7 linked regions of the Ovis aries genome follow. The protein of the gene in region 1 purifies or fractionates together with the protein of each later gene. This does not show direct contact. Links are inferred from orthologs where the notes say so. Each region holds a gene or a part of one and is shown on either strand. Other genes may lie near its edges. The genes, in order: HIF1A, FASN, LAMP2, CTNNB1, SEPTIN9, YAP1 and HDAC4.

Evidence for each region.
Region 2: the proteins of HIF1A (region 1) and FASN purify together in Homo sapiens (affinity purification with western blotting; 3 studies listed by BioGRID and IntAct, with this or other methods). This does not show direct contact. The link is inferred for Ovis aries from reciprocal best matches to the Homo sapiens genes HIF1A and FASN.
Region 3: the proteins of HIF1A (region 1) and LAMP2 purify together in Homo sapiens (affinity purification with western blotting; 3 studies listed by BioGRID). This does not show direct contact. The link is inferred for Ovis aries from reciprocal best matches to the Homo sapiens genes HIF1A and LAMP2.
Region 4: the proteins of HIF1A (region 1) and CTNNB1 purify together in Homo sapiens (affinity purification with western blotting; 7 studies listed by BioGRID and IntAct, with this or other methods). This does not show direct contact. The link is inferred for Ovis aries from reciprocal best matches to the Homo sapiens genes HIF1A and CTNNB1.
Region 5: the proteins of HIF1A (region 1) and SEPTIN9 purify together in Homo sapiens (affinity purification with western blotting; 4 studies listed by BioGRID and IntAct, with this or other methods). This does not show direct contact. The link is inferred for Ovis aries from reciprocal best matches to the Homo sapiens genes HIF1A and SEPTIN9.
Region 6: the proteins of HIF1A (region 1) and YAP1 purify together in Homo sapiens (affinity purification with western blotting; 3 studies listed by BioGRID and IntAct, with this or other methods). This does not show direct contact. The link is inferred for Ovis aries from reciprocal best matches to the Homo sapiens genes HIF1A and YAP1.
Region 7: the proteins of HIF1A (region 1) and HDAC4 purify together in Homo sapiens (affinity purification with western blotting; 4 studies listed by BioGRID and IntAct, with this or other methods). This does not show direct contact. The link is inferred for Ovis aries from reciprocal best matches to the Homo sapiens genes HIF1A and HDAC4.

What each region holds. Positions count from the first base shown.
Region 1 is NC_056060.1:71,938,402-71,942,407, reverse strand, and holds part of HIF1A (hypoxia-inducible factor 1-alpha), read right to left. Parts: intron 3,674-4,006; coding exon 3,561-3,673; intron 2,995-3,560; coding exon 2,792-2,994; intron 1-2,791.
Region 2 is NC_056064.1:50,275,764-50,280,477, forward strand, and holds the start of FASN (fatty acid synthase), read left to right. Parts: upstream 1-1,655; 5' UTR 1,656-1,746; intron 1,747-3,598; 5' UTR 3,599-3,609; coding exon 3,610-3,736; intron 3,737-4,498; coding exon 4,499-4,651; intron 4,652-4,714. UniProt on the Homo sapiens protein: Fatty acid synthetase is a multifunctional enzyme that catalyzes the de novo biosynthesis of long-chain saturated fatty acids starting from acetyl-CoA and malonyl-CoA in the presence of NADPH.
Region 3 is NC_056080.1:104,773,979-104,777,984, reverse strand, and holds part of LAMP2 (lysosome-associated membrane glycoprotein 2), read left to right. Parts: intron 1-2,801; coding exon 2,802-2,865; intron 2,866-3,298; coding exon 3,299-3,463; intron 3,464-4,006. UniProt on the Homo sapiens protein: Lysosomal membrane glycoprotein which plays an important role in lysosome biogenesis, lysosomal pH regulation and autophagy.
Region 4 is NC_056072.1:13,821,424-13,826,089, reverse strand, and holds the start of CTNNB1 (catenin beta-1), read right to left. Parts: upstream 3,211-4,666; 5' UTR 3,045-3,210; intron 2,577-3,044; exon of another isoform or gene 2,487-2,576; intron 1-2,486. UniProt on the Homo sapiens protein: Key downstream component of the canonical Wnt signaling pathway.
Region 5 is NC_056064.1:53,912,194-53,916,199, forward strand, and holds part of SEPTIN9 (septin-9), read right to left. Parts: intron 3,755-4,006; coding exon 3,113-3,754; intron 1-3,112.
Region 6 is NC_056068.1:6,217,257-6,221,262, forward strand, and holds part of YAP1 (transcriptional coactivator YAP1), read right to left. Parts: intron 2,174-4,006; coding exon 1,980-2,173; intron 1-1,979. UniProt on the Homo sapiens protein: Transcriptional regulator with dual roles as a coactivator and corepressor. Critical downstream regulatory target in the Hippo signaling pathway, crucial for organ size control and tumor suppression by restricting proliferation and promoting apoptosis.
Region 7 is NC_056054.1:2,119,569-2,124,024, reverse strand, and holds the start of HDAC4 (histone deacetylase 4), read right to left. Parts: upstream 3,175-4,456; 5' UTR 3,012-3,174; intron 1-3,011. UniProt on the Homo sapiens protein: Responsible for the deacetylation of lysine residues on the N-terminal part of the core histones (H2A, H2B, H3 and H4).

The sequences.
Region 1 (4,006 bases):
GGGCAGGAGGAGAAGGGGACGACAGAGGATGAGATGGCTGGATGGCATCACTGACTCGATGGATGTGAGTCTGAGTGAACCCTGGGAGTTGGTGATGGACAGGGAGGCCTGGCGTGCTGCGATTCATGGGGTCACAAAGAGTCAGACACGACTGAGAGACTGAACTGAACCTCACTACATCATTGTGCCACAAACAGTAGCTACTCAAATGTTTGAATGATTACAAGTGGAAATTAGGACAATAAATAATAGTCATTTGTGGGATATTTTGGATGTAAGAAGTCTGATATGTTAGAATTCCTCAATACTGAGCAAAATTTTTTCTACATTGGTTCTTAATGGGTATAGCTGTGAGAAGTTCTAGAAGGCAAATTTTTCCAAAATTTTTCCCATGTTGGTTCTTAACGGGTATAACTGTGAGAAGTTCTAGAAGGAGTAACCAGAAAACATCTATCTCCTGGTCAGACTCAAAATCTTACTTGGTTGGTCTCTAAGCAGGCTGCTTTTAGCTCTCTATCACAACCATTTGGATAACTTTCTGATATAATCAGAAGGACAATGTCACTCCCTTTCATTATAATTCTAACTCCATCACTTTCCTTTCTTCCCAACCCACCCCTATACTTTATATACTGAGTTCAAAAACGTAAAAATAGTTCCTAAAGAAGGATTGGCATATCTGTTCTATCATGCATTGATATAAATACTGGCACCAAACACGATAAAATATCTCTTGGCATTTCTGTCTTTGTTTCTTCAAGTTAACCCCAGTGGTAAAGCAGTCACTATGTGCACTAGGCTCTCAACAAACTCTCATAATCCTTACCACAGCCTTTTGAAGCATGGCCCTTATTTAACAGATAAGGAAGATGAGATTTAGAACAGCTAAGTTCTAACACCCAGGCCACACTATAAGTACCAGGACCACAAGCCAAGATTGAATCAAGAATGATGTGATTCCAAAGCCAGTGCTTTCTCACTTTTCCCGTCCAGTAGGATAGGGCTTAAGATCAATTTTCTCGTATAACGTTCAATTTTAAAATAATACAAATACATGTATTATACTGTGACAAACTGATGCTCAAAGCAAAGTAGAAATGTGTCTAAGATCATCTGGATATAGGCAGCAAAGTCAGCATTTAGTAGTCTGGTTACAAAACCTATGCCTTCAGCCAGTATGTTACAGTTTTACAGTAAAAAATGGGACAAGCAAGCAAATAATTTCAAAACAGAAAAAAAGGCTATGACAGACCACATATAAGGAACAGTAGCTTTTTAAAGAAACAAGGAAAGCTCTACAAGTAGATGCGGTGAGTGACTCTTAGAAGCTAAGTTTGTGTTTGGAGTTAAGAAAACTATCACTGTACTAAGACAACAAAATAGCATGTGGAGTTCTCTGGAAGTAGGGTATTAAGGGCCACATCAGAAGGGTCTTCCCATCCTCCTGATTAATTTGGGAAAATCAGGAATGTCCGTGGTGGTCCAATGGTAAAGAATTCACCATCCAAAGCAGGGGACATGGGTTTGATCCCTGGTCACATCCCACATGCCACAGGGTAACTGAGCCTGCACACCACAACGAGAGAAGGCCGTGCACCACAACAAAGGCCTAGCACGGTCAAAAATAAAATCTCAACAACAACAACAACAAAAAAAATGGGGTAGAAGTCACCAGGGGCCAGATCATAAATATCTTTCCTTGCCATGCTAAGAAGTTTAGATTTATTAAAGAGGTCTATTTTTCTTTCAGATTTTCAAAATGCATGTCTTCTTTTGATAAATAAAAATCTCCCACCCTTCTAATATTTTTTATAAACAAAAGTTTGTGTGTGAAGATGAAGGGAAGCAATGAGGCATTTTTACAAGACATGATCTGATTTTCACATTAGGAAGTTCACTTCTTGGAAACCTGGATGAGACTAAAAGGGCACAAATCTGTTGGCAGAGATGCAGTTAGGAGACTTTAATGGCAACAGTTCAAGCCAAAGGTAATAATGAGCTGAAGAACTCAACGGCACGAAAGCAAGTGGAAGGAGGGAATGGAGGAGACACACATAGTAAATCTATTAAGATTTTGAAACAGAATGTAGATCAGTGAGCAAAAGAAAAGTTAAGGATGACTTTCCAATTTTTGCTGGAGTTATATGTGTTCACTGGTATATTAATCATGATAGGTACTGTAAGAGGAAAAACTTGTTTCTGAAGTTGTTTTGGGATAGGAGTGGTTCAATCAGGTATGGAAATATTTAGTTTATAATACAGAAGAATATGTATCTAGATAAAAATATCAAATTGGCAATTAAATGGAAATAGATATGGATAGAAATCTGCAAAACAGCACCATCAGCAAGGATAAAGCTGCTCAGGAAAAATACGTAGGATGAAGAGACAACCAAAGGCTTTCCTTTCTAGTCCACAACCAGAAGTAATCCTTCCTCAAATTATGTATTGTATGTCTCTGAAATATATTTTTTTCTTTAAATAAATTAGAACACCTAAAGGAAAAAAAAAACCTCATCTTAATAATCACTGGATAGCACCTGCTACAGTAAGTACACAGTAAATGTTCAATAAATGTGGTTGAATTAATCTGTAAAGTTAATCTTACTATATTCTAGGATGTATAATTGTACTCAATTTAAGTGGAAGGAAGCCTGCACACCACAGCTAGAGAACTAGATTTATTAAAGAGGTCTATTTTTCTTTCAGCTTTCAGTCTTTACTGTAGTCAACAGTTAAAACAATTCTGTGGACTAATTAAAAATTTCAAGTTATATTTTATTTCACTTACCTTTCATCACAATAAGAAAATTTCATATCCAGACTGTGACGACTGAGAAAAGTCTTGCTGTCTAAAGGAATTTCAATATTTGATGGATGAGGAATGGGTTCACAAATCAGCACCAAGCATGTCATCGGTGGTTTCTTATACCCACACTGAGATTGGTTACTGTTGGTATCGTATACATGAATATGGCCTGTGCAGTGAAGTACCTGAGTATGAAGAAAAACAAAACAGTTTTTTAAAAAACTTATGCTAGTAAAAAACAAAATGCAGAGACAGTTGAGTCTAACATGGCAAGTAAGCTTTGATAAAATTTACTATCATTAGTAGATCACTATATTTTTGAAAATCAGTGTTTTCTCTACACTACCACCCATGACCTACTCTTCAGGTACCATAAGATTAGTCTTTGAAAAAATTTCCCTTCGTACAAATCTGAGCTTGTTTTTATCTGGCCACTATACCTGTTTGATGGTTATTTCTTGCTCTGATGACGATGTTTCAAAACTGAGCAAAGAAATGATACAACAATGAATAAAATATTAATGTTAGCAAGATTCAAACACTGGGTGGCTGGCAAAGCTGAATGTCCACATAACTTAAGTTCATGCCTCTTAACTGATGAATTACTAAACTTTTTGGATATCAAATCTATAAACACAAAGGAACAATAAGTTTTCCCTCACAGTTCTAATGTTGTCTTACTACTAGTAATGTGAAGATGCATTAATTTATCTAGGAATCAGCTGTAGTCACAGATAATTTTTATACTTACTTTCCATGTTGCAGATTTTATGTTCATAGTTCTCCCCCGGCTAGTTAGGGTACACTTCATTCTGAGAAAAAAGCTCCGCTGTGTATTTTGCTCTTTACCCTTTTTTACAAGGCCTAATGAAAACATGAAATAAAGTTTAAAAACATAATTAAATATACAAATGTGTTACAGAAGAAGTAGCACAGTGCCCAGTACCTAGGTGCTATTCAATGGAAAGTCTCAATATGAGAACAATGCTTCACACCTGCTTTGCTCACTCCAATATATCCAAGGGATTTAACACACTTGTAGTAAGTAACGGGTTCACAATAGCAGTGATTCCCTGAGATGGTGCGATGAGAATAACACTTAATCATTTCACATTCAAGCCAATAGAGTTGGTCAGATTACAAAGAAATATAAACACAGTATGAATTTGCTCCCTAACTGTGTTATCAGTGTATAAA
Region 2 (4,714 bases), on another chromosome or scaffold:
TGACCAGCGGGAAGTAAGCCTGGGATAGTTTAAGACACCAAGAGTTGAGGGTGTTTGTGCAGCATGGTCTACCCATTCCTGATCCAGGATACCGGGTGTCTGAAAAGCTCTTAAGTAGGAAGGAAAAGAAAATCCCACAAAGTTATTTGGGACAGCAATTGAGCTGCGGGATATCCCTGCCCTCTCTCCTTTTTTCCTGTCTTGCTCTTTCTTTTTTTTTTTTTTCGGGTTGCTCTTTCTTTCAAACCAAAAGTGCAAACCAGAAGTCCCCAGTGATGACGCCAAGAGGAAGACAAGAGGAGGAGGGATGAGCTGCCACTGGAGCACTGTAGGGTTTGAGGGAGGGGCACCTGAATCCAAGTTACCTGGTTTGGCGGGGCAGTCCCCTTCTGTCCTGCCCAGAACATCTGTGGCCAGTGCCATGCTCCACAGTCTTCAGTTTCCGAGACAGGGGAGGAGAGCAGCAGCGTTTGATTACAAGAGAAATCGGCCAGGCACCTCTGCCAGGGCTTTTCTGACCTCACAAGGGTCTATCAGTGGTCCCAGGAGATAGTAAGGACCGTGCAGGGCGTGGCCACCAGGCCGTCCTTCCCGGGCTCGTGATTCCCGATCCGTGTTGTCTTGTTTGTTTTCAGTCTGGAAAGTCAAGGATTTGTGTGTGTGTGTGTATAAAATCGATAAACGTTTGAGCACGGGAATTACAGAAGGAGGGTGTGCGGGCGAGGAGAGAACGCACTTCCATTGGTTCGTGTGCGTGCCGGTGGGTGAAAGTGGCCACGTGCGCGCGCGAGTGCCTCTGCCCAGGGAGACTCCTTTGTTCAGACCACACCAAGAGGTGTCCGTGCATAGCCCGCTCGCCAGATGGCCGCGCCCCGTCCCCACGGCCATCTGCGGAAGGCCCCTGCAGGCCTCGGAGCTTCCCCCGCGTTCCCGCACTCGCCCCGCGAATTTCGGCGGCGAGGCAGGGAGGACCGGAGGCGCTGTGCTGCAGTGACCGACAGTAACCCCGCACAGGGCACCCTCGGCCGGGTCAATGACCGCGCTCGCTCCGTTGCGGCCCGCGCAGCTCCTGGGGCAGCCCGGCCCATCACCCTATCACCTAGCAACGCCCACTCGAGGGGCGCCATTGGGCCAGCGCGCACGCCCCCGGCCCCCAATTGGCTGTGGCTGCAGAGAGAGCCACGCCCCCGGCCCGGCCCCACGCAGCCCGGACGCGGGCTGGTCAATTCGTACGCCTGGGGGTCCGTCTAGCCCCCCGTGTTGCCCTAGTATGACCCTCAGAGTGACCGAAGTACGCCCGTTCCGTTTCCACCGCGCGCCGTGCACACGTGGCCCCCGCGGTCCCGGGGGTGGGGGCGGCCCCGGGAGGCGTGGAGCACGGAACGGAAGTTGGGGGGCGGGGGTGACACCGTGCCCCGCCCCGGAGCCCCCCGAGTCCGGGGCCCCCAACCCGGCGCCACCCGGGCGCGCCCCCGCGCAGGGTCCCGGCTCCCGGCGGCGGCGCGCCGCATCACCCCACTGGCGGCGGCGCGCCTGGTCCCGGGGCGCAGCCCCGACGCTCATTGGCCTGGGCGGCGCAGCCAAGCTGTCAGCCCATGTGGCGTGTCCGCACGGGGATGGCCGCGGTTAAATAGCGCCGGCGCGGGCCTAGAGGGAGCCAGAGAGACAGTAGCGGCCTCCCCACCACCGCGCGCTCCATCCTCGCTCTCCTTCAGCCGTTCGCAGAGCCGCCCGCGCCCATACCAGGTACAAGCGGCCAGGCCGGGCCGGGGTTGGAAGTTGTGAGTTGGGAACCCGGTCCTGGGGCCAGACTGGATCAGGGGCTGGGGCGGGAGCAAGGCGGCCGGGCTCGAGGGGGCGCCGCCGGCCCGCATCCTCTGGCCTTGGGTGCGCATGGTCCGGCGCGCTGATGGTGAGGGCTCATCTCGCACAGCCTGCCCTGGTCTCGGGGTCCGAGCCTCCGGTCTGTATGTTCGAGTCCCACGAGACCCCCGAGGCTAGGCGGCGAAGGGCCCTCGCGCCGTGCCTAAGCCCGGCGGGGCAGGTGGGCAGATGGCGAGGGGCGGACGCCCGGGAACGCCGCGAACAGCCATTTTGGTCTTGGGCTGGGCCGGGAGGCTGCAGACCCTCGAGGGCCTGTTGGAGCCCCCAGCCGCCACGCCCTGGAGGGCCTCCTTTTCCGGCTTGGCCGCCGAGCCCCTCCACCCGCGGCATCCCGCTGCCTTCGGGTGCAGGATAGCCGTCTCGGCCGACCGGAGGGCCTGAGAAGAGGGGAAGGACGTGGATGGAGGAGGCGCAGGGCCGTATAAGGACGGCTTCTCCACCACGTGGGCTCCGTTTGGAGCCCCCAAAGTTCCGGGGGGAGAGCCACTCCTGGCGGGTACAACCTCGCGGCGGCGCGCGCGGTTTCGCCAGCGCCGCAGGGGTCTCCACCCTTTTGCTTCGTCCTGCCGGACTCCGCGTGAATAGCAAGTAGGGGGAGAACAGAGCGGGCGCTTTCTGGAGAAGCAGCCGCCCCGGGAGCTGGTGCTTCTGGGCCGGCAAAGGGCTCTTTATTCAGCGCTGGGGGAGGGGGCTCCCTCTGCCGGGACGCCAGGGCGATCAGGCCACCCAAGGAAGACGCTCTCCACTCCTACTTTCCCATGCTCAGAGAAACCCTAAATCGGCGCCATAAGGCCCTGGAGCCTTGGTGGAAGTTTGCAGGACCAACCTTGGCCTTGCCCCCTTCCTCAGGGACTGCACAGGAGCCCTGGGCCCACAGGCTCAGGGTAGACTAAGTTCCCTCGTTGGTGCTGGGAGACCTGGGTCTGGGTGGACAGGCAGGCTGCTGGATCAGGAAGTAGGCAAGCGCGGCCCTGAGGCCTCGACCTGTGCAGATGTGTGGGTCTGGGTAGTGCTTGCCTGGCAGCTGACCGAGAGTGGTTCTCCAGGTTGGAGCCTGCTGGAGGGGCCATACAGGCTGGGGCTGCCCACTGTGAGACAGGGACCAATTTTTCCCCAGAGCCCCTCCAGGTCTTGGCACTGTTGAGCCCAAGCTGTGGTTCCTGCCTGGAGGGCAGCTCAGGATGCTGAGCGCAGAACCAACTAGTCAGTGTGGGCACTTCTTCCCACCCCCATATTTGCCCTTTCTCCTTCGCCTACTAAATTCCCTGGGCCACCTCTTAACAGGATGGCAGCCAGGCAGTCCTTTCCTCAGAAGGGTTTGGGCCCTGCCTTCCACTATGGGGCCCCTCCTGAGTCTCCTGCAGCAGGGCAGTGGTGGGGTCACCCCAGGCCAAGGCCAGTGCCCAGAGAGCCCAGTGCGCGGTGTCAGCAGGCTGGACCAGAGTGGACTCCCCTTTCCCAACCACCATACATGCACTTCACACACGTGCACACACAGCGTCCCAGCAGGGGCACAGCCCCAGAGCCGGCCATGTGGATCTTTGTTGCAGGGCTTTCTGAGCTGCTGTTCTCAGACCCTTGGGTGGGCCAGATGGAGGAGGGGGATCAGGAAGCCAGGGTTGGGAAGCAGCTGGGTCTCCAGCGAGGCTGTGGACTGGCAGTGCCCGGGCGCAGGCTGACCAGTGTCCGGGCCCCCACGCCACCCTCCTTGCAGAGAGAGCAGCCATGGAGGAGGTGGTGATCGCTGGCATGTCCGGGAAGCTGCCCGAGTCGGAGAACCTGGAGGAGTTTTGGGCCAATCTCATTGGCGGCGTGGACATGGTGACAGATGATGACAGGCGGTGGAAGGCGGGTAAGTGGGCCTGGGGCTCCCCGCCTACTTGAGAGGTTCTTTTCTCACCGCTTCTGTGGACGCACTCTCCCGGGTTACCAGGCAGGCCTGTTTTGGCCGGCACTCTGGTCCCAGTGGCAGAGCCAACGGTCACCTAAGGTGAGGCCATGTTATAGCCTCTTTCTGGAGACGGTACCAGAAGGCTCTGGGCTAGGGGAACCTGGGACCTCTGGCCAGTGGGCTAGGTACTGTGGGAGTCTGGAGTTCCCTGGGCATAGCCTTTGTCCCTTTCACAGACCAGGAGCATTGCTTGGGGGTGGAGCCAGGGCAAGGCCAGGTGGGTGAACACCTCCGGCCAGCCACTGCCCGCCCACGTGCTGTCCCAGGCGGTCAGATAAGACATCAGGCTCCCCCGGGAAGCTGGTTTGACTCCCTCACGCCCAGTAGGTTCTCCCGCAGAGTGGCTCCACCTGATCTACAGGGTGTGAGTCAGTGTGGCAGAGCCTGGCTGGCCTTAGCTGCCAGGCTGGGATGGGGCCAGGCAGAAGGTCTCCAGCCAGGTCAGGACAGCGGGAGGTGGGAGGAGGCAGCGCTGCCCCCTACAGTGCTCTGCTCTGGGGCCATCACCCATGAGGTTCCCCCTGCCCCAGGGCCCCTCTCAGAAGTGGGCCCACCCATCCCAGGGAGCTTCAGCTCTCTGTTGCAGCAGGGACTCCCCCGCAATCAATCACTCGGGGCCATGATGTCCTATGACTGATTTCTCCACCTGTGTGTGTTCCCTAGGACTATATGGCCTGCCTCGGCGGTCAGGCAAGCTGAAGGACCTGTCCCGGTTTGACGCTTCCTTCTTCGGTGTCCACCCCAAGCAGGCGCACAATATGGACCCCCAGCTCCGCTTGCTGCTGGAGGTCACCTACGAGGCCATTGTGGATGCAGGTGGGCCATCTGGGGGGCTGCAGAGCACCTGTCCCTGAGTTTCCTGCTGCCCTTCTTGAAAAC
Region 3 (4,006 bases), on another chromosome or scaffold:
AAGTCTAGAAATACCTACAGTGTCACCAGAGTTCAGTGGGGCCCATCTCACCTTCAATCCTATCATGACAGTTGCTTGTCAGGATAATTGAATTCAGTGTATATACAGGATGCTTTTTATACTGTTCATGAGGTTCTAATGGCAAGTATACTGGGGTGGTTTGCCATTCGCTCCTCCAGTGGATCACATTTTGTCAGAACTCTCCTATGACCCGTCTGTCTTGGATGGCCTTACACGGCAAAGCTTGTAGCTTGAGTTACGCAAGCCACTCGCCATGACAAGGCATGTGGGTCTTTTTTTCCCCCATTGGAAAAGACCTGATGCTGGGAAAGATTGAGGGCAAAAGGAAAAGAGGGTGTCAGAGGATGAGATGGCTGGATGGCATCACCATTCCAGTGGACATGAACTTGGGGAACTCCAGGAGGTGGTGAGGGACAGGGAGGCCTGACATGCTGCAGTCCACAGGATCGCGAAGAGTTGGACACAACTGGCGACTAAGCAACACCACCACAGGATGCTATGGTGGGATACAAAGAAGAAGGCCTGTGTTCTTAAGATGCCCATAATCTATTGGTCAAGGTGTGTGCGTGCATGCACTCAGTTGCATCCAGCTTTTGTGACCCCATGGACTGTAGCCCACCAGTCTCCTCTGTCCATGGAATTTTCCAGGCAAGAGAACTGGAGCAAGTTGCTGTTTCCTTCTCCAGGGGATCTTCCTGACTCAGGAATCGAGCCTGCATCTCCTGCGTCGGCAGGCAGATTCTTTACCACTGAGCCACTGGGAAAGTCCCCAAGTGATAAAGATAACAGTGTACAGATAACCACCACTTTTATGGAAGGCCTTGAATGCCCTGCTGGCTTTTGGATTTGATTCTGTGGAAAAGTAAACTGTGCTGTAGGAGGTGCATTCAAAGTGGGATGAGTGTTAGACCAGAGGAAAGTACAAAGTGCTATGGGAGTAAAGGAGGGCTTCCCAGGTGATTCAGTGGTAAAGAATCTGCCTGCTATTGCAGGAGACACAAGAGTCCCAGGTTCGATCCCTGGATCAGGAAGGTCCCTTGGAGAAGGGAATGGCTGCTTCCAATATTCTTGCTTAGAGAGTTCCATGGACAGGAATCTGGCGAGCTACAGTCCATGGGCTCACAAAGAGTCAGACATGACTGAGCGCCCTAACACAACAATGGAAGTATAGAGGAACGAGCCATTAATTCTGGCTGGAGGAGAGTCAGGAGGGTTTTACAGAAGAGATGGCATTAAAGCTGGACATTCAAGAATGGGCCAGATGTGTACATATGGAGTATAAGGGGAATAAGTGAAAAAGTACAGAATATCCCTGGATAAAGGAACACAATCAAGACCAGGTGGAAAATGAGGCATGGAACATGTTTAGTGAATCATAAGTTTGGAAGAGTGTTTGGGACAAATTGTGGAGAGCCTTGAATGGTGAACCAAGGAGAGATGGGGTGGCGTTGTCAAGACTTCTGTGTGCTTTCTCCTGAAGTTCTCTTAGTCTGCCCCCTTGTTTTCATTCCCTACCGATTCCGGCCTCCATTACCACTTACCTCCTATCTAGTTTCAGACCACCTCCTAACAACCCCCCCCTTCTCCTCCCCTCCCCTAATGTACTTCGGCATCAGCTGAATCTTCTTGAAGCTCAGCTCTTTCTCAGAAACCTGCAGTAGTTCTGTTTTGCCAACAAGAAAACATCTAAATTCCATGCCTGGGGTAGTTCAAGCCTCCTCTCCCCGCTGTGCAAAGTAACCTGCATATCCAGCTTTATGTTTCCTTCTTTCCCTTGTCGTGAAGCTCATGCTTCCGTCACCCTGTTCCCTGTGCACATCCAGTGTGGTAGGAGAGTGGCCGAGGAAACAGCACTCAGGCTCCACAGCCAGACTCCCTGGGGTCAAATCCCAGCTAACTCTGTAGCCTTGCGGAAGTTGCTCAACACCCTCCATGGATCAGTTATCCCATCTCAAAATGGGGTGTTGTAATTCTTCCATGAAGCCTCCTGGGTAAAGTTTTAGGAACAGTGCTTAAAGTTTTCAGATGCCAGTGTGCTTGCGATGATGCTTATTTCTGACTTCTTTATTCAGGCTCTTCCCTTCTTGAATACTTGTTTGTGCTTCTTTCCTAATTGAATCCTACCCCATTCAGAGAGCCCATCCCTAACTTTCTGTTGCCTTTGCTCCTTCCCTAGTTGGAATTCCTCTCCTTTTATTCATAATTTATCACTTTTTTTGTAGTGTGGTTATTTATTTTTATTTGTCTTCTCTGGCAGATTGTAAACACAATGGGGGCAGGATCCAAATGTGTCCATTTTGCTGGCTCCCTGGAACACTTAGATGTGTTACCTTGTACATACTAAGCGGTGAAGTAATTGGAAGGATCCTCTGATCAGCTTAATGCTTCAGAAAGAAAATAGCATTGGAGGAAAAACAGAGCTGGACAGGCAGAAAGGCAGGGAGCCCTGTGAAGAGGCTGTTGTGATCCAGGCTAGAGGTGGTAAGGGCTTGGAAAGTGACAGAAAGATCAGAATGGAGGGAGTGAATTGCTGAGTGTCTGGGAACCAGGTGAGCACATCATCTCTGGTCCCAAAGCTGGAAACAAAAATGAAGAGGTAAAAGGGTATCAGTCACATTTTGAGTCTCTTGACTTATTTGCAATTTGTGCTCCTGGGCCAGGTCTAATCCATGGTTGGATCTTCTGGGTAATAGTATTAGATTGCTCTCCTTCCATAGATGTTAACTGTGTCTGTAAACAGCTGTGATGCATTGACTAACTGGATGCTTTTTTTCACACAGAAAAATGAAAACCGATTCTATCTGAAGGAGGTGAATGTCAGCGTGATTTTGGTTAATGGCTCTGGTAAGCAAAACATTGGCCTGGGAGGTGGGGAGGAGTATAGGTTTCACTGAAAGAATACAAACCATACTTATCTTGTTACCAAATAACAAGATAATTTAATGACAAGTGCGTTATTTAATGGAACAGAAGATTCTGTGTTAAAATTGGGCTTTGACCATAACTTAGAACCGGTTTCATCTTTTGCAAGATCTTGTATTTTCAAAGCATAGTAAGTAATAGTTAAAGAATGTGACTGGGTTTTAGACTGTTGCAACATCCAAAGAGATAGGGAACCTAGTTAGTGATCTTAAGAATGGCTTTTTGTGGGCAGACCCTGTACCCTGAGCTCTCCTGTATTTCACAGAAAATTCCTCAGGATTGTCTTCCCCCTCCTCCCTTTTTAAAAAATATTGACAGGATAAGAAGTTACTAACATTTTTTTTTTCCTTTAAAGTTTACAGCATTTCAAATACCAATCTCAGCTACTGGGATGCTCCCCTGGGAAGTTCTTATATGTGCAACAAAGAGCAGACCGTTTCCGTGTCTGGAGCACTTCAGATAAATACCTTTGATCTAAGGGTTCAGCCTTTCAGTGTGACAGAAGGAAAGTATTCTACTGGTAAGAATCAAGCAAGTTTTATTAATAATTTATGCTCATAGGTTGACTGCTAGGTGGCTTTTCTTTTGAGTCGTGGAAATTTAAGCCCTGGAATAGAGAAATAGGAATTCACCTCTCGACTCTTATAGCCCTGAGAAAGTGGTGTGACTGTATTAGCTAATCATTTTGCTCAAATTAAGTGTGTTTTGTAATCTCAAAATCATTTGCAGCAAAGTTCTTAAGGCTAAAAACTGATAGGTCCTTTAAGTGAGCTTTACATACTTTGGCTACCTCAGCAAAGAGTTGACTCATTGGAAAAGACTCTGATGCTGGGAGGGATTGGGGGCAGGAGGAGAAGGGGACGACAGAGGATGAGATGGCTGGATGGCATCACCGACTCGATGGACATGAGTTTGAGTGAACTCTGGGAGTTGGTGATGGTCAGGGAAACCTGGCGTGCTGCGATTCATGGGGTCGCAAAGAGTCAGACACGACTGAGCGACTGAACTGAACATAAGATGCAGACACTCCTCCATGGGTTGTCATTTGTGGGAAGGGTGGCAC
Region 4 (4,666 bases), on another chromosome or scaffold:
CATATTTTCCTTTCCTGGAACTTACAAAGTATATCTTTATTTTAGCCCATTAGCCTAGTTATCTATCAAGACACAATTAGAACAGTATTACATAAACAATAATCTGTTAAAAGAATGAAGACTGATTTTGCAACTCAGTTTTCTCTCAGTGAGGGTCCAAGAGGCAAAAGATACAAGCTCTGGAGTAACCAGAAGTAGCTACTAGTCTGTTTTACTACTTACTTTTAAGATATAAAAATGCTTTTACTCAAACTGTTTCAACAAAAGATACTCTATTCCCAACAAAAAGAGAGCTACAAGAATACAAAATACAACTAAGTCAATACAACTAGTGTTTTCACAACCAAAGTCACAAGTCAACATGCAGCACGAAAGAGCTGTTATACTTTTTATTACAAGTTTGTCCTGCTCTAAAAGTATTCATCCTTTCTGCCCTGGGCTGGCAATCAAGCATGCTTCCAACCAAGCTCAAAGTACATACTTAAAATTTACCACCTACTCCTCTGCAGTTATTATCAGCAACTAGTAAACCATAAAAGAGAAACAAAATCTCATTATAACTGGATGCTGTATTGTTTCATTTCAGTAACACAAAAGTTTCATTTGGCTAAAGATACTACAAACAACCTATCTCTGGGATTTTAATTTCACTGCTAAAGTATAAAAGAGTGAGATTCAAATTTTTGAATTCTCCACGTCCCTAGTTTCAACAATACTTATGCTCTTCCTTCCACTCCTTCCAACAATGAAACAGGCTGTGTGCATATAGCTTTCCCAAGAACCAAATCTCAAAACACTCTTAGAGAAATCAGCCTACTTCAAGTTTTCTCTTCCTATTTGGGGAGTGGAGGAGGGAAGTGTGTATGAAAAGAAAAATATACAACTTCATTTATATGGATAATTTTATTCCATTTATCATTAGCAACAGTAAGAAGCTCAATCTGATTTCAGTTTTAATATTGGAATCTACATAATCATCTACACGATTATCTTGGTAAAGGATATGTTTCGAAAGAAAAATGCTGGACACTGACACTTGAACACTACTAAATGTTTTACTTTTTTTAAGTCACCTTTTAAAATTTGGTTTTTCTTGAAAGCAATTTTAAATGGCTGCTCTAGCTTCTGGGAAAATCTCAAGCCTAGAACTCCTCAAGGACTCTAAGTTACATGCTATACTAAACTTTGTAGCACAGTTTTTTAATTTCCCCCTCAAGGACTTCAGACTTGAATAGCCTCAGCATTCCTTTAATCCTATAGAATAGGCTCCTGGAAGTTTTTCAAGTTACTGTTGCAATCACTTTAGGGCCTTGTACATGGCCTTCAGAACAAAGACTAGGTCAAAGTAATGAATACTGGACGCAAATTAATCAAATTTCGTGAAAAGATATTCGCAAACATTAATGGCACCTTTTTTTAAACTCAAGAGGTTCGTGCGCTTGAATGTAAAAATAAAATAAATGTAGCAGCCGCCTTAGTTCAGACCGAAAAAAATGCCTCCCAAACAAGTTTGTCACTAATCTAAGCAGATATTAAACAGAAACATTAACAAACAAAAGAGTCAAGCTATGTCCAGTATCTCTTAAGGAAACACGTTAACAGGAAGATAGCCGAAGGTACTGAATGTACACCAAGAGACAGAATGAAACGGCTTCCCAAGTTCCAGACAAAATACTTACAACTTAGCCATCTGAAAAACAGCAGCCCAGACTTTATCAAAGGCGAGCCGTCTCTTCAAGCTGCTGTCTAGTCTAAGCCACCACTATTCACGACACAAAGCTCTCGTTTCACTAAAACCACTCCTCGATTTCCTTTTGCCGACCTCTGCATACCAGCAGACCAGTCTCCCTTCATTCACCACTCACAAACCCGGAGTGGGGGTGGGGGGAGACCACAGATGTCTGGAAGATACAAAGTAGGAGACAATGCTCCCTCCACCACCGAAAAGAAAACGAAGCAAACAACTACACCCGACTGGCAAAGCTTTCAAGTTTAGTAGACTCAGAAGGAGGCTGTGAAAAGCGAACTTTGAAAGTCTCAGTTCCAAGTCCTCTCTCCAGACAAAACACGGAACGAAGTTGCAAAGCTTGAATTTCCTGCGGGCCATTTCGTAGCGAGGGGAAAATTCACCCCGCTGGAAAGCGCTCTCAAAATCAAGTTTAGTTGCCGTGAAACTATTTGAATAAAGAATCTCCAGGAACACACAATTCTCGAAGCAGTCGCAATCTGAGTCCTGTGGGTCACTTGCTAAGAGACAGTAAGCCAGACGCCCTCGCCCTTATTTTTCCCAGGACCTCCCTAGCACGCCCGCTTTCACTCACCTGCACCGTACAAAAAAATGTAGGTGCAAGATAGGGATTTTTATCTGTGCAAATCCTCCTGGCGCATCACACCGTCTGCACTAACAGTTTGGATCCTCTAAGGTTTAAAGTTGCTCCGATTTAAACGAGCGTACTCACACCGGCAGGCCATTAAAAATCACTAACCTCTTATTAACCCTCGAAAAAATTCGTCCTTAAGCACGAAAGATAGGACCTCACGTGGCGTCCCAGGCCCAGCGCCCGCACCCCAACTCCCCGCGGAGGCCGGGAAGGCGGAGTCCCCCGTCCCCACCCCGCCCCCCACCCCGGCCCCGGCGCATCCCGAGGCGCAGGGTCCCTCCCCCAAACTCAGCCGCGGCCTGAGCCCGGGACGGAAACCACAGCCCCCTCCACCCACCCGCCCACCCCGCTGGCCACCCGACCTCCCGGACGCGCCCTCGCGGCGCCCCCTCCCCGAAAGCGGCACCCCCGGGGCTCCCGAAGGAGCCGCGCGACCGGAACCGGGCCCGGCCGCCGCCCTCAGCCCCCCGGGCGCGGTCCGCCTCTGCCGCCTCCCCGGCGCCCCCAGCCCACACGCCCCTCCCCGCTCCCCACCCCGGGGCCTCGGGCTGCGCCGGGTCCGGCTCCCAGCCGCCGCCGGGACCGCGCGCCCGCGACGAAGTTTGGCTCCGAAGCGGGAAGGGGAGCAGCCCCAGACGGGTAAGGAAAGGAGCGCCCAAGCACCTCAGGGGAACAGGCTCCTCCCGCAGCGGGAGTCCGACCGTCCTCGGCCTGCGTTGGCGGCTCGACGGGGACCGGAGCTGCTCCTCGGACCTTGCTCCGTCTCCGCCTCCCCTCTCTCTTCGCTCCCGGGGCCGGGCTAGCGCGGCTGCCACAGACCGAGAGGCTTAAAATGGCGCCGCACAAGGAGCTCTTATAAGTCGCGCAGGATTCACTGTATCCTGCCGCCAGCGGCGCAGCGCGGAGCGTTCCGCCGCGCGGGGACAAGGGGCGGGGCGCGGGCGGGCGGCGGAAAGTAGTCCCCGCGCCGCGGAGCCGCCCGCCGCCGCCGCCGCCGCCGCCGCGGTCCGCCAGCCCGGGGCAGGGGCGGGGCGCCCGCGCGCTCTGCGGGCGCTCTCCCAGGTTGAGGCCGGCGCTGCCCCGCCGCGCGGGACTGGAGGGCGGCCCGCCAGGGCGCGGTAGTCCGAGTCAGGGAGGCGCGGGTCTCCGCGAGCCGGGGTGGGCTGGAGGGAGGGCGACACCGGTATTCTCCACTGTCCCGAGCCCGACGCCCCGGCCTCGCGCATGCCCCGGGCCATGAGAACAGATGCGAGGCTGGCTGCGCGCTGCCGGCTACCGGCGGGAGGCGGCATCGGGACCCCGGCCCTGCGGGGCAGGCGGCACACGTCCCTGGGGGGTGAAAGTTCAGGGCCGAGGTGGCGGCGGCAATGCCGGAGCTGAGGTCTGGGCCCACCCGCTCTGGACTCTGCCGGACGCCGCCGCCGCCCTGCTCCCGGTCAGGGGACCCCGGCGCGTTCGTGCTTCCGCTGCCGTTGCAGTCTGGGCCCCAAGCTCTCTGCAGGACTTGGCTCGCAGCCAAGCCGCACATCACCTCAGAGCCCCCCACGGTCCAGGTCGTGGATCTCGCATCCCTACCGGCTGTTCATCTTGAATCTGGGAATGAAGCACCCGGCCGAGCCGCCGGCTTTCCCCGCTCGTGAAGGCTGCGAACTCTCGTTAGGATAGGCGCCTAGCCCGCAATTCAACAAGTCCTTAGGAGTCCCTAACTGAACAAATGACTGATAGACATGGACTAGCTCCACAGCCCTGCCAATTAGGTTAATTCTTACAGTTTCCATTTTTAACTGGTTCCACTTTGCTACTAAGTATCAGTATATTGGGGGTGGTGGTGGATTTTTCTTTCATTCTAAGTTTATTTCTAGGGTATTACTTCTTTGAGAAATCCAAGTTCGTTGTTCATGGAAAGAGCTATCCATTAAGCAGCTTCTAATTTTTTAAAACTCATTTTCTATTCTTCAAAAAAATTTTTTAATTCGTTTGAATAGGCTGAAGTTGGGTCTTGTTTTCCCTTGGAAATGTCTCCATTGTAATCAGCAGGTTTGGTGTTTGTCAAAGCTGAAACAATTATGATCGATTCACTTTCTCTAGTCTATTGTTGGATGCTTATTTTTCCTCCAAAACAATGGAGAGAGTACAAAAAGCAACAGTGAAAGTTATCTTGAGGCTTTTATCTTTGTAATTAATGCATGCAAACAATAGGTCTTTATACATAGGTACGGCAGGAAACCCTCTCATTCAATTGTGGAGTAGCTTGTGCAGTTTTAGGTATAGCTAATGCTTCAGGG
Region 5 (4,006 bases), on another chromosome or scaffold:
CTAGGACACAGGTGTCCATCAACAATGGATGGATAATCAAATTACCAATGGCATTTTCCACAGAACTAGAACAAAAAAATTCACAACTCATATGAAAACACAAAAGACGCCAAATAGCCAAAGCAGTCTTGAGAAAGAAGAATCGAGCTGGAGGAATCAATCTTCCTGACTTCAGATTACACTACAAAGCTACTGTCATCAAGACAGTATGGTACTGGCACAAAAATAGAAATATAGACCAATGGAACAGATAGAAAGCCCAGAAATAAACCCCTGCACCTATGGGTACCTTATTTTTGACAAAAGGGGCAAGAATATACAATGGGGCAAAGACAGTCTCTTCAATAAATGGTGCTGGGAAAACTGGACAGCTACATGTAAAAGAATGAAATTAGAACACTTCCTAACACCATACACACAGATAAACTCAAAATGGGTTAAAGACCTAAATGTAAGGCCAGAAACTATAAAACTCTGACAGAAAAATATAGGCAGAACACTCAATGATAAATCAAAGCAATATCCTCTATGACTCACCTCCCAGAGTAACGGAAATAAAAACAAAAGTAAACAAATAGGACCTGATTAAACTTAAAAGCTTTTGCAGCACAGCAAAGGAAACCAAGCAAGGTGAAAAGACAACCCTCAGAAAGCGAGAAAATAATAGCAAATGAAACAACTGACAAAGGATTAATTTCCGAAATATACAAGCAGCTCACACAATTCAATGTCAGAAAAACAAACAACTCAATCAAAAAGTGCGAAAAAGACCTAAACAGACATTTCTCCAAAGAAGACATACAGATGGCTAACAAACACATGAAAAGATGCTCAACATCGCTCATTATTAGAGAAATGCAAATCAAAACCACAATGAGATATCACCTCATATTGATCAGAATGACCCTCATCAAAAAGTCTACAAACAATAAATGCTGGAGAGGGTGTGGAGAAAAGGGAACACTCTTGCACTGTTGGTGGGGATGTAAATTGATACAGCCACTATGGAAGATGGTATGGAGATTCCTTAAAATACTAGGAATAAAACCACGATATGACCCAGCAATCCCACTCCTAGGCACATACCCTGATGAAACCAAAGCTGAAAGAGACACATGTATCCCACTGTTCACTGCAGCGCTATTTATAACAGCTAGAACATGGAAGCAACCTAGACGTCCATTGACTGAATGGATAAAGAAGTTTGGTACATATACACAATGGAATATTATTTAGCAACAAACAGGAACTCATTTGAGTCAATTCTGATGAAGTGGATGAACCTAGAACCTATTACACAGAGTGAACTGAGTCAGAAAGAGAAAGATAAATATCGTATTCTAACGCACATACACGGAATCTAGAACAATGGTACTGAAGAATTTATTTACAGGGCAGCAATGGAGAAACAGACATAGGGAATGTGCATGGGGAGAGGGGAGGGGAGGGTGAGATGTATAGGAAGAGTAACATGGAAACTCGCATCCCCATATGTAAAAGAGGTCACCAACAGGAATTTGCTGTATGGCTCAAGAAACTCAAACAGGGGCTCTGTATCAACCTAGAGGGGTGGGACGGGGAGGAAGCTGGGAGGGAGGTTCAAAAGGGAGGGGATATATGTATACCTTTGGCTGATTCATGTTGAGGTTTGATAGAAAACAACAAAATTCTGTAAAGCAATTATCCTTCAATTAAAAGAATTTAAAAAGGAAAAATAAGAAATAGGCTTTCAAAGGAATTTTCAAAACAATAAATATGTATCGAGGACCTACCAAAAAAAAAACAAAACCAATGGATGGCTACGCAGTGTGGTCTATGCATACAATGGAATATTATTCAGCCTTAGAAAGGGAAGGAAATTCTGATACTTGGTGCAACATGGATGAACTCTGAAGACGTGCAAAGTGAAATAAACCAGACCCAGAAGGACAAATATTCAGGATTCCACCTACAGGAAGGACCCAGAGTAGTCAAACTTATAGAGACAGAAAGTGGGAAGGTGGGCGCCAAGGGCTGGGGGTTGGGGGAAGGTAATGGGGCCGGAGATTCAGTCGGGAAGATGAAAAAGTTGTGGAGATGGTTGCACAGCAATACGATGTGTTAATATGCATGAACTGTACACTTAAACACGGCTACAATGGTCAATATTATACGTGTTTTACCACCATGAAAACAATTTTTAAAAGGTTAATCAAAAACCCATAATGTTCTGCCTGTCCAACCCAAGGGACACTTATTGAACATTTACTGAGCTCGGAGGCCCAGGATTACAACCGGACCCAGCTTCCATCAGGCTCACAGCTCAGCCGGCACCTTAACATAGCCTGTGGAGCCAAGACCCTCATTGTAGGGCAGGGGGCAGCAATGGTGTTTCATGGGACAGCATCACGTCCCCTGTGAGCTCCCTGTGAGCACAAGTCTGGGTCTGGACCCTCCAAGGACAGTAGCATGCCCTCAATCGCCCCCTAGCCAGCAGAAGAGCCCTGAACAGAGTCGTGGGCAGGAATCACGGGGCTCCCTGGCCTGGGACCCCTCCTGGCAGCCCTGAAAACCCTAGCATGCAGACATGAGGTGCTGTCATGCCCTCTTCGTGTCTGGGCACAACCCTCCCTCCTTTGGGAGGAAGACCCTCCAGGGCAGGAACCGCCCCCTCCCACCTCCCGCAGCCTCTGCCCTGGGGGCACCTGCAGGGCACATGTCACCCTTCTAGAAGCCGAGCCTGCCTCTCCAAGGCCCAGAGACCACCACCCACCAGGACTGAGAGAGCCTGTCCTGGGGTCTCACAGCCATCCCGCCCCAGCACGAGCCTGTCCCGGTTCCTGCCCCTACATCCTGGGGTCGCAGCCATGGTTACACCACGACCCTGTTGACCAATTAAAGGGGGACCCTCACAACCCAGAGATTCTTTGCAGAGTCTAACTGAAATCCAACTTGCTGCATTGTGGTCCACTATGGGACAGAAAGAGCCCCCCAGTCCCTGCCCCTGAGATTTCAGAAGTATAAGCCACCCCTCAACTCAATGTTCAGCTTCTTTCTCCAAGATTCCAAGGCAAAGCCAGCTCCCCACTCCCCAAGTCATCACAGCACAGGCGACTGGCACCTTGCTACTCACCCTCCTGGCTCTTGGGTGGGATCTCGGCCACGGGGGGCTGGGGCTTGGGATCCAGCCTGCTCTGCAGCTGAGACATCGGGGCGAGTTCTGAATTCTCCAGGGTCTGGGGTGGGATGGGGGAGGCGGGCCCCTCGGCTGGCTTGGGCACCTGGATCTCGACCCTCTTGGGGGCTGTGTCAGCAGCAGGGGCAGTGGGCACCTCGGGCATCTTAGAGGCGGGGGTCTCCATCCTCCGGTGGCCTGACTCCTGGGGCTTGACTATGGTGATCTCCGTCCTCCGGGGGGCGGGCTCCGGCGTCTTGTGGCCCAGGGCCTCGGCCCGCTTGAGCCCGAACCGGGATGGCCCGGCGGTGCCGGCGTTCTCTACCTGCTTGGACGAGATGTCGATGGAGATCTCGGTGCGCCGAGACACGGGCTCGGCCTTGGGCCCGGAGAGCTCGACCCTCCGCAGGGCGGCCTTGGGGGATCGCTGGCTCAGGGAGTCTACATGGCGGGCTGCAGGCTCTGAGTTCTTCACACCCAGGTCCTGGAATTTCTGTGTGGAGCTGGCCACCGAGGATCGGAGCAGCGGCGTCTGGACCCTCCGGGGTGGGGTGGAGTTGGGCGTCTCGACCTCCTCGACCTCAAAAGATCTTTTCAAGGCTGGAAGATAAAGCGAGGAGAAGGTGATGAGCAGACGGCTAGGGAACGCCTGCAAACATCCTGCTAGTGGTTAACATGGGAAGGCAGCCGGCGGGGAGGCTGCAGCGATGGCTCTGTTGCACAGGGGCAAGGGTGCAAGAGGGAAGACTCCTGTGCCCTTTTACCTCTCAGGAAGAAAAGGTGACAGCCCCATTCTACTAGGGGCTGAGGCACGAGCAGCCACGTGTTCTGGGAGAGACAGAAAAGACGGAA
Region 6 (4,006 bases), on another chromosome or scaffold:
AACGACAAAATGAAAAGCAAGCAATGACAACAGGCTGCGTAAAACGTACCCTGAAATTACTTTATTTCTTCCAATAGCTATATAATTATATTCTCGATGGTGCTACCTTGTTCCGGTGATAAAGTTTTATTTAAATGAAAAATATCTTTCCTTTATAGTAATATGTTAAAAGTCTGTCAGAGGTATAGTAAACTTGTTAATGTGCTTCCTTTTTCCACTTTCTTAAAGGCAGATGAGGAAATACTTCTTTCAAGACCACTTCATGACACCATATCCTGGCATTCTCCTTCTTCTTTTAGGGCCAACCACACCAGATTATAGTGGCAGGTTACTGACAGCTCAGTTTACAAGTATGGCGGCCTGGAGTCCTCATGGCTCAGTTTAATTCTTGGGTACCAGTTCTTCAAACCTCAAATCAGAGTTCAATCACTGTATCAAGTTCATCTATTTCCATTAACACTCAAGTGACACTATCAAAATATAACCCTCATGAAGAAAACAGTACCTTGTTCAAATGCCTACATCCTGGCAACAAAAATGTAGCCTATAATGGTATTTTTAATGCCTGTTCTTAGTATGCTATGATTTAGGGCGGGGCAGTAGTAGAGGCACTTGTATTCCATGTTTGTAAATAAAGAGAATGTCTGGGGCGGGGGTGAGGGCAAGTATAAGAACTGGTTAGCTATTTACATCCAGAAAAGAGAACTAGAGAAATGGGAAAAGGAGATTTTATTTTCACTTTGTACACTTTCAAAACCACATTGTGTTTTTATTACCCAAAATATTTATATAAAAATTTTAAAATATACTAAGATCATACCCCCAAAATCTAAACTTTAGCTTTTGTCACTCTGAAATTTGAGATGATATGGCACAGAAAAACCAGTATTTCTGAAAGAAAACTGACAGAAATGGCCCTAAAGGTTTCCAGCTCTCTAATGTTAGAATCTGCCCTTCCCAACGTGAAAAAACAACCACAAGCAGGTAATTTTAAGGCACTTGGGGATCTTCTAAACTTGGGATAGCCTGTGTTACATTTTAAATAAAACACATCTTAGATTCAGCAATAGTGAAACACAGCTGTCATTTGAGAGGTATCATACTGGTATATTATCATACTGGTATATTCTCCTAGACAAATAATTTGTTTAAAGTAAAAGATGTTTCTCCCCAAGTGATGTTCCAGAGTTTCTTCCTTAGCGAAATCTTCAGATATTAAATAGTCTGCAATTCCCTGTACAGACATACCTCGTTTTATTGCACTTCACAGACACTGCATTTTTTTTTTTAAAAACACATCAAACGTTTGTGGCAACCCTGCGACTAGCAAGTCTATCAGAGCCATTTTTCTAAAAGCAATTGCTCACTTCACGCCTTGGTGTCATATTTTGGTAATTCTCACAATATTTTGGCCTTTTTCATTATTATTTTATTTATAACAGTGATCTGTGATGTTACAGCAAAAAGATGACTCACTGGAAGCTCAGATGATGGCTAGCATTTTTTCAGCAGTTAAGTACTTTTAAAAAATGTTCACTGTTAAGACATAACGCTGTTACACACTTAAGACTATAGTATGGTATAAACATTAACGTCTATATGCACCAGCAAACCCCCGAATTCATGTGATTCACTTTCCTGTAATACTCGCTTTCCTGTGGTGGTCTGGGACTGATGGGCAATATCTCCGAGGTATGCCTGTATATTTGAGGAAAAGCACCCTTGCTTCCTTTGCCTTCTGCTTGACTGCAGTGAACATGGCCCAAACGCCTCTGTGTGACACAGGTTTACAAGTGACAGCCCACGTGCTCAGAGGCCAGCAGAGAAACTAAGACAGGGACAGAGCTGGACAGAGTGTTTCTGTGTCACTCTAGTTTTGGAGAAACAACATTCCTCTGTAACCAACAAATGCCAAAATGAAACACACCCAGCTTCACGTAGGAAAACAAAGCCCCAAGAGTGGAAGGCTGGTCTCTAACCTGGGGCCTCACCTGCCGAAGCAGTTCTTGCTGCTTCAGTCGCAGTCTTTCTTTCTCCATCTGCAACTGCTGCAGCCGCATCTGTTGCTGCTGGTTGGAACTGCCACCACCCAGGACTCCTCCCTGTGGGCTCTGGGGGGCCAGCGGGGGTGGCTGTTTCACTGGAGCACTTTGACTGATTCTCTGGTTCATGGCTGCAAGGAAACAGAAGATCTGTTCTAAAAAACTAGCCAAGAAAAAGGATTTTTTGTTATTCACAAGCATGATGGGGACATTCAACATAGCCTCTTCTGTAGTAAGATCAGAAATAACCTAAAAACCCACCAATAGTACAAAGGGTACATCAGTTTCTTATTATTACAGACATCCTTGTCATTAGTGTAGTATGCGGCCTTAAGATGAAAGAAACAAGCAGCAGCTCTAACAGGCAATGGCGCGGAGAAGTCTAAGGCACACAAAGGTAAAGGCACAGTACAGAACAGGACAGGCAGAGGAGGGCTGTACTGATATATTACATGCATATCCAGAGAATCTCAATCGAAGGACAGATAAGAAGCAATCAACACCTGCTGGCTCTGTAGCTGGGGAACTGGGTGACTAAAGAACTGACGTTCAAGAGAGACATTTTTTGTAACTTTTCAAGTTTGAATAATGTGAATGCACCGCTTATTATAAAATATATATCCAATTAAAAATAAATCCCTCAAACTAACTAAGAGAAAGCAATCTAAGCAGTAAAGTTCATTATTAATCTTTAAATACAATGCTAACTAACAAATCAAGTAGGTTAGATGCATGCTCCAAATAAAGCCTACATCTGGACGGCACAGATTGGTCTCATTCAACACCACTGTACCCCCCACACAGCCAAGGTAGTCAGTTACTTTTTGAGTTGAACCTGTAATACACCATTTGACAATTAGATTGGATTCTTATAATAGTGAATTTCTGTCACTGATAAAACACTGATCAAACTATGGATTGTGTTAGCCTCAGTAAGCAGATGCAAGTTTTATTACGTGAAAATGGCAATAAGAATGATACATTACCTTTTCAGACATCTATTCAACTTTTTAAGGTGACATTTCAGGTCACTGTTTAATACATATGACACTTGAAGAAATGACACTAATCTTTTACAACCTTTTGCAGAGAACAGCAAAGAAGGAAACTTCACGCTTTTGTGACCAGCATATCCCTAATACCTTACGAAGACACTAAAACAAAGAAAAATCATAGATGGCTCTCTCTCATCAACCTTGCTACCAAAATCTGAAATGATTCACTGGTGGTGCTCATGACTTACTAGACCCTGGCCACAAAGCAAACTCCTTGTGATGATCTTCACATGTCCTCGGCTGGACCACAGGTACAGCTCTTGGAGGCCACCTGAACAAACCTCTTCCAGGGCACTGCCTTGGGACTCTGTCTACTGACATTTCTCACCTGTCATTTTTTATTTACAAATTTATATCTTCTCTTCCCAGGTGGCACCAGTGGTAAAGAACCCTCCTGTCAATGCAGGAGACCTAAGAGACATGGGTTCAGTCCCTGGGTCAGGAAGATGCCCTGGAGGAGGGAATGGCAACCCACTCCAGTGTTCTTGTCTGGAGAATCCCGTGGACAGAAGCCTGGCGGGCTACAGCCCACAGGGTCGCAAGCAGCTGGACACGACTGAAGCGACTGAGCACACACATCTTCTCTCAAACACGTGCCTCAGGAGCGGGGACAGAATCCCAACCGCACATATATTCTTAGTGCCTAGACCAGCAACTTGGCATAAAATCTGTGTGGGGAAACAACACTGAAATGATTCTAAGCCCTTTCATTATGCACTGAGGCAGAAATTTAACTTTTTAAAAGATATGGCAATACAGAAATCCTACCAATTTCCCCATAGACTACCAACTCTTCTATGTGGCAGTATAACATTGATTTGAAACCAAGGATATTAGAAAAAAGGAAAATTACAGACCAATCTTCTCCGAGAATGCCTTAGTTCAATTCAACCTACTGAGATATTAATA
Region 7 (4,456 bases), on another chromosome or scaffold:
AGAAGGTCCGTCGGTCAGAAAAGGCAGCCGAGAGCCCACCCTGCTCCCGAAACAGAGCCACCTACTTCATCTCAGCCACACGAGCCCAAGAGACGAAAATGACCTCCTAACAGAACTCGCTGATCTGAGCTCGGTGACGCGTCTCCCCAAAGAAACGGCCTGTGAACACACGTTGCTGAGGCGTGTGAAGACGCAGCGTCACTTCTGACACAGGCCCGTCATCTGACTTGAACCAGAGACCCTTTGCTTTTCTCTAACTCAAGGCCAAAAGACCACAACCCACTGCACACTGCAACGTATCCCGACTGACCGTCTGAGACTCAAACCAAGCCCCCTCCAGACTGGCTCCCCAGTCCCCACCCCAGAACCAGCAAGGGCCGCAACCGCTGGGGCAGAACTTGCCCTCCGGCTAGAACAGCGGGGACAAGGGCTGAGCCTCGCAGGCCACAGAGCGAGGCGGCTTCCGCGGAGGCGGGGCTAACGCGGATCGGCAGCTGATTCCCAGCAGGGATTTCGGGTCCAGGGGCCGTCATCCCGCCACCCCAGCAGAGCCGTAGCCCGCTCTCTGCATCTCCCCTACTCCCTCCATCAGGTACCAATCTATAGCTCAGGCAGCTTCTGAGCAATGAAAGCCCAGCCGTTTTCAATAGAGAACGGTAGGGACGGATTCTCCAGAAGTGATGAAATGTTTCTTCTGCTCTGGCAATTAAGACGGCACAAAGTCGCCTTTCCTCCGGTGCCACCCCCAACATCAAAGGATGAGAATTCAAAGCCATTCATGCTGCATTGAAACCTCACAATGCAGCTGGAAAATGGAAGTCGATTACTGGACATAAATATGCAGTAGTTAAAAGCAAAGAGTTAGAACGAAATTCAACTGCAGCAACCCAAAGACGTGCGGAAACTTCCAGAACTGGAGTCCTCCTGGTAAACACGAGGGGCATCCTTAGAAAGCACGCTTCTGGCCACTGAGCCAAGCTCGGTGCTCTGGACCCACGTGGCCCAGGGGCCATGTTGTTCTGCCCATCTTGCTACAGTAACGGCCCCCAAGGCCTCCGAGAACATGGCATTTAGAGATTTTTCTTTCTCATGGCTGTGAAGCTGCTGACCACAGAACATTCTCTCTTGGCTCAGGGCTGCTGAGGCCACATCTGTCCTTGGTCCCCAGGCCCCGCGGGCCTCCGCCCCCGCACACACCCCCAGCCCAGGGCTCTCCCAGGGGCGCTCCTGCCGCCAGTTCCGATCACAGGAGAGAGAAGTAACCCTAAAGAGGGCAGTGTTACATCTGCCTGCCGCATAAACCGTGCTTCTTTTCTGATTGATTACTGCTCTCTTTAGGAAGGTATTTGATCTTTAAAATAAAAGCCCAGAACACAGAAAGCTATACAAGTCTAACAATGTGTCAGGGTGTGTGTTTTTAAGGCAGGAAAATACTTCCCTCCCACACAAATGTGAGTTCTGGGGGAGATGCCACGGAGCCCAGGGAACAGAATATCTGGGAAAGCTTGCTGGGTCTTAAAAATAGATGATTGAACACAGATTTGAGAATGCTCAGGAGCTACCTGAAAAAGAAAATTAAATCTCACATATTTTTGATATCCAAACTCCATTCTGATGAAACTTCTAAGAGGGTGGCATTTTGCATTTCCAATTATAATAGAGTAATTGTGTTGCCATAGTGACCGCAAAATTCTGCAATAACTTTTGTTGCTTTGTAACTGCTGTAGTGTATATTTGTGTACAAGCAGCTGAGTTTTCTTAATTCAATCCCTCTCCCTCCCCCTGCCTGTCCCCCTCCGCCAGTCACCACCACCACCTTCCCTGGCTCAACCCAAAGAAAATTATCAAAAGCAACTAAAACTCCAGGCCACAGACGATCACGGTACAAAAGAAAAAGTGAAACCAGGCCAAGGTGCAGACCCACCAGTATTACCCCAGTCTTGCTAGGCTGGCGCTGGGCGAGGGCTGTTTACATGTTTACTCCCAGGCCTCCCCGGCTTAGGCGGTTTGTGGGAATAAACAGAAAAGCCTGAGCGGAGGGAAGAGGGGAAGGAAAGTAACTCCACAGGCCCCTTCCCTCCCTCGCCCAGGGCAGGCAGAGAGCTGCTGCAAGCAATTAGGTAGGTCTCTACAGTAATGCAATTAGGATTTAGTTAAGAAAGTCATTAGTTTTAAAATAACTTGAGCTTAATTTCTGCAACACTTTATTTGAAAATTGTGTCACAGCAGGTCAATTTACAACATGCAATAAAGAAAACACGCGTATCAGCTGCTGCAAGTTATTACAAATTTCTGATGTGCATTAAATGAGTACACTGGGTTCCACCCCCGGCCTTTCCGACTGATACGCACGATCTCCTGCTATAACAGTGTCAAATAATTCAACGCTCAATGTAAATACGAGATAATTTGCTTCGGATGCCACGGTGGGAGCTTGCGATGCCGCCAAGCGCGGCTCCCGTCACCTGGGCAGGACGGGGCCCAGGGCTCGGCCTGCCCGCACCCCTCGGGTCGCGGGCGCCCCACCCCTGCCGTTCCGGTCCGGGGCACACACACCCGGCGACGGCGCACCCCCGCCCGCCCGCCCGCCCGCCAGCCCCGGGAGGGACGTTTTTCTGCAAACTCACAGCCTCGACAAAGTTACATAAACGGCGCCCGCCGGGGCTCGGGAGCCCCCCGGCCCACCTGCCGAGGGCTCGGCCTGGACGGGACCGGGCGCCCCGGGGAGGCCCGCCGGCCGTCCTGCGCCCCCGCCCCGCGGGCGGCCCCCGCCGGGCCGGGGGGCTGCAGCGGGGAAGGTCCGGGACGGGCTCCGGCTCCGCTCCGGACGCCCGCGGGGCCGCGCGGCCTGGGCGCGCGGGGCCGGGCCGGGGCCAGGCCGGCGGGCGGGCGGACCCCCGGCGTCCACCTGCCGGGCCGGGCGGCGGGGGCGTGGAGGCGGGCGGGCGGGCGGCCTGCGGGCGGGCGGGGGGCGGACAATGGCCCGCGGGCCGGGCCGGGGCAGCGCTTACCGCGGCGGCGGCGGCGGCGGGCGCTCCGAGCCGCATCTTCTCAGCCTGCGCCGCCACCACCACCACCACCACCGCCGGCGGCGGGCGGGCGGGCGGGAGGGAGCTCGGGCGGCGGCGACGGCGGGGACGCGGCCGCGGCGCGCCGGGCCCAGGCGGCTGAGGCGGCGGCGCGGGCGGGCGGGCGGGCGCGCGGGCTCGGGCGCGGCGGCGGCGGCGGCGGGGACGGTGCTCCGCAAGCGGCGGCCCCACAACCTCCCCTCCTCATTCACAAAAAATTGACCCACGTTGAACCATGATGCCGCTCCCCCCCTCCGGCACCGAGGCGAGCGCTGATAGGCCAGCCCCGACGCCTGTCAGCGGCCCCGGCCCCGCCCTCCCGCCGTCGGCCCTGCGGCTATTGGCTGCACCAGCCTTGCATCACCTCCCCTCGCGGGTCCCTCCCTCCCGCCCGGTTTCTAATGAAGAGCTCGTCAATTACGGCTCGGCCCCGCCCTCTGCCCGCCCTCCCCGGGCGCCCGGCGGCCCTCCCATTGGCCCACTGGGGGGGTCGCGGGAACAGCCCCGCTTGGTCCCGCCCATCGGCCCCGCGGCCTCCAACTCGCCAGGCCCAACGCCCTCCGAACGCCAGGGATGCTCCACCCCCGCCCGCCTCCTGGTCCCCATTGGCTGCCGAAGCTGCCAATCCCAGGGGCGGGGCTATCAGAGGACGCTATAGGCGCCAGCTGGTGGACGCCTGATGGTTGGGAAAGTGTTGGGAGTCCAGGCGCGTGGTGACTGTCAACACGGGCCGTGGCCCCGGAAAGCCTCGTTCGCCGCCCCCAGAGAGCTGCGCCGCGGGGCCCAGCAGTGAGGGCCGGACGGGCCGCTCTCCTGGCGAGGGGAGGCTGAGGCGCGGGCTGAAGAGGGGAGCCGGTGAGGCCCGGCCGCGGCCGCCATCTTGGGTACGGGCAGCGATCACGTGGTGCGGCCTGCTCCCGGCGACGCAGGGGCGGTGCGAAGGCCGAGTGCGCAGGCGCGGAGGGCCCCGCCCTGCCCCGCGGCGGGAACGCGGCCTTGGGGGCGCGGGGCCGGGCCGGCCGGCCTTCCCGGCGGGCGCGGGGCGAGCGCAGTGCGCCTGCGCCGGCGGAGGGCCAGGGGATGCGCGAGCGCTCTCCGAGTCTGGTCCGAGTTCCCCGGTCCCGGGCGGAGGCCGCAGAGACGGCTTCCCACCCACTTTCCGGTCGTTCCGGGCTCGCATGCACCTTGGGCGGGGGTCCGGGCCAATCCGTTCACCCCGAGTGCTCAGAGTCCGGGCTGTGCCTTGCGGAGGCCTTCAGAGACTCCCCTTGGGTCGCACCCCAGGGGGGCGTGATGGGGTCTGCGGCGAGGTCGGAGCTGTGAAGCCCACTGGGCAGCCCATCCCGAATGTCACACCTGCGTGGGGACAGCCCTGCCGGCGTAGGGAG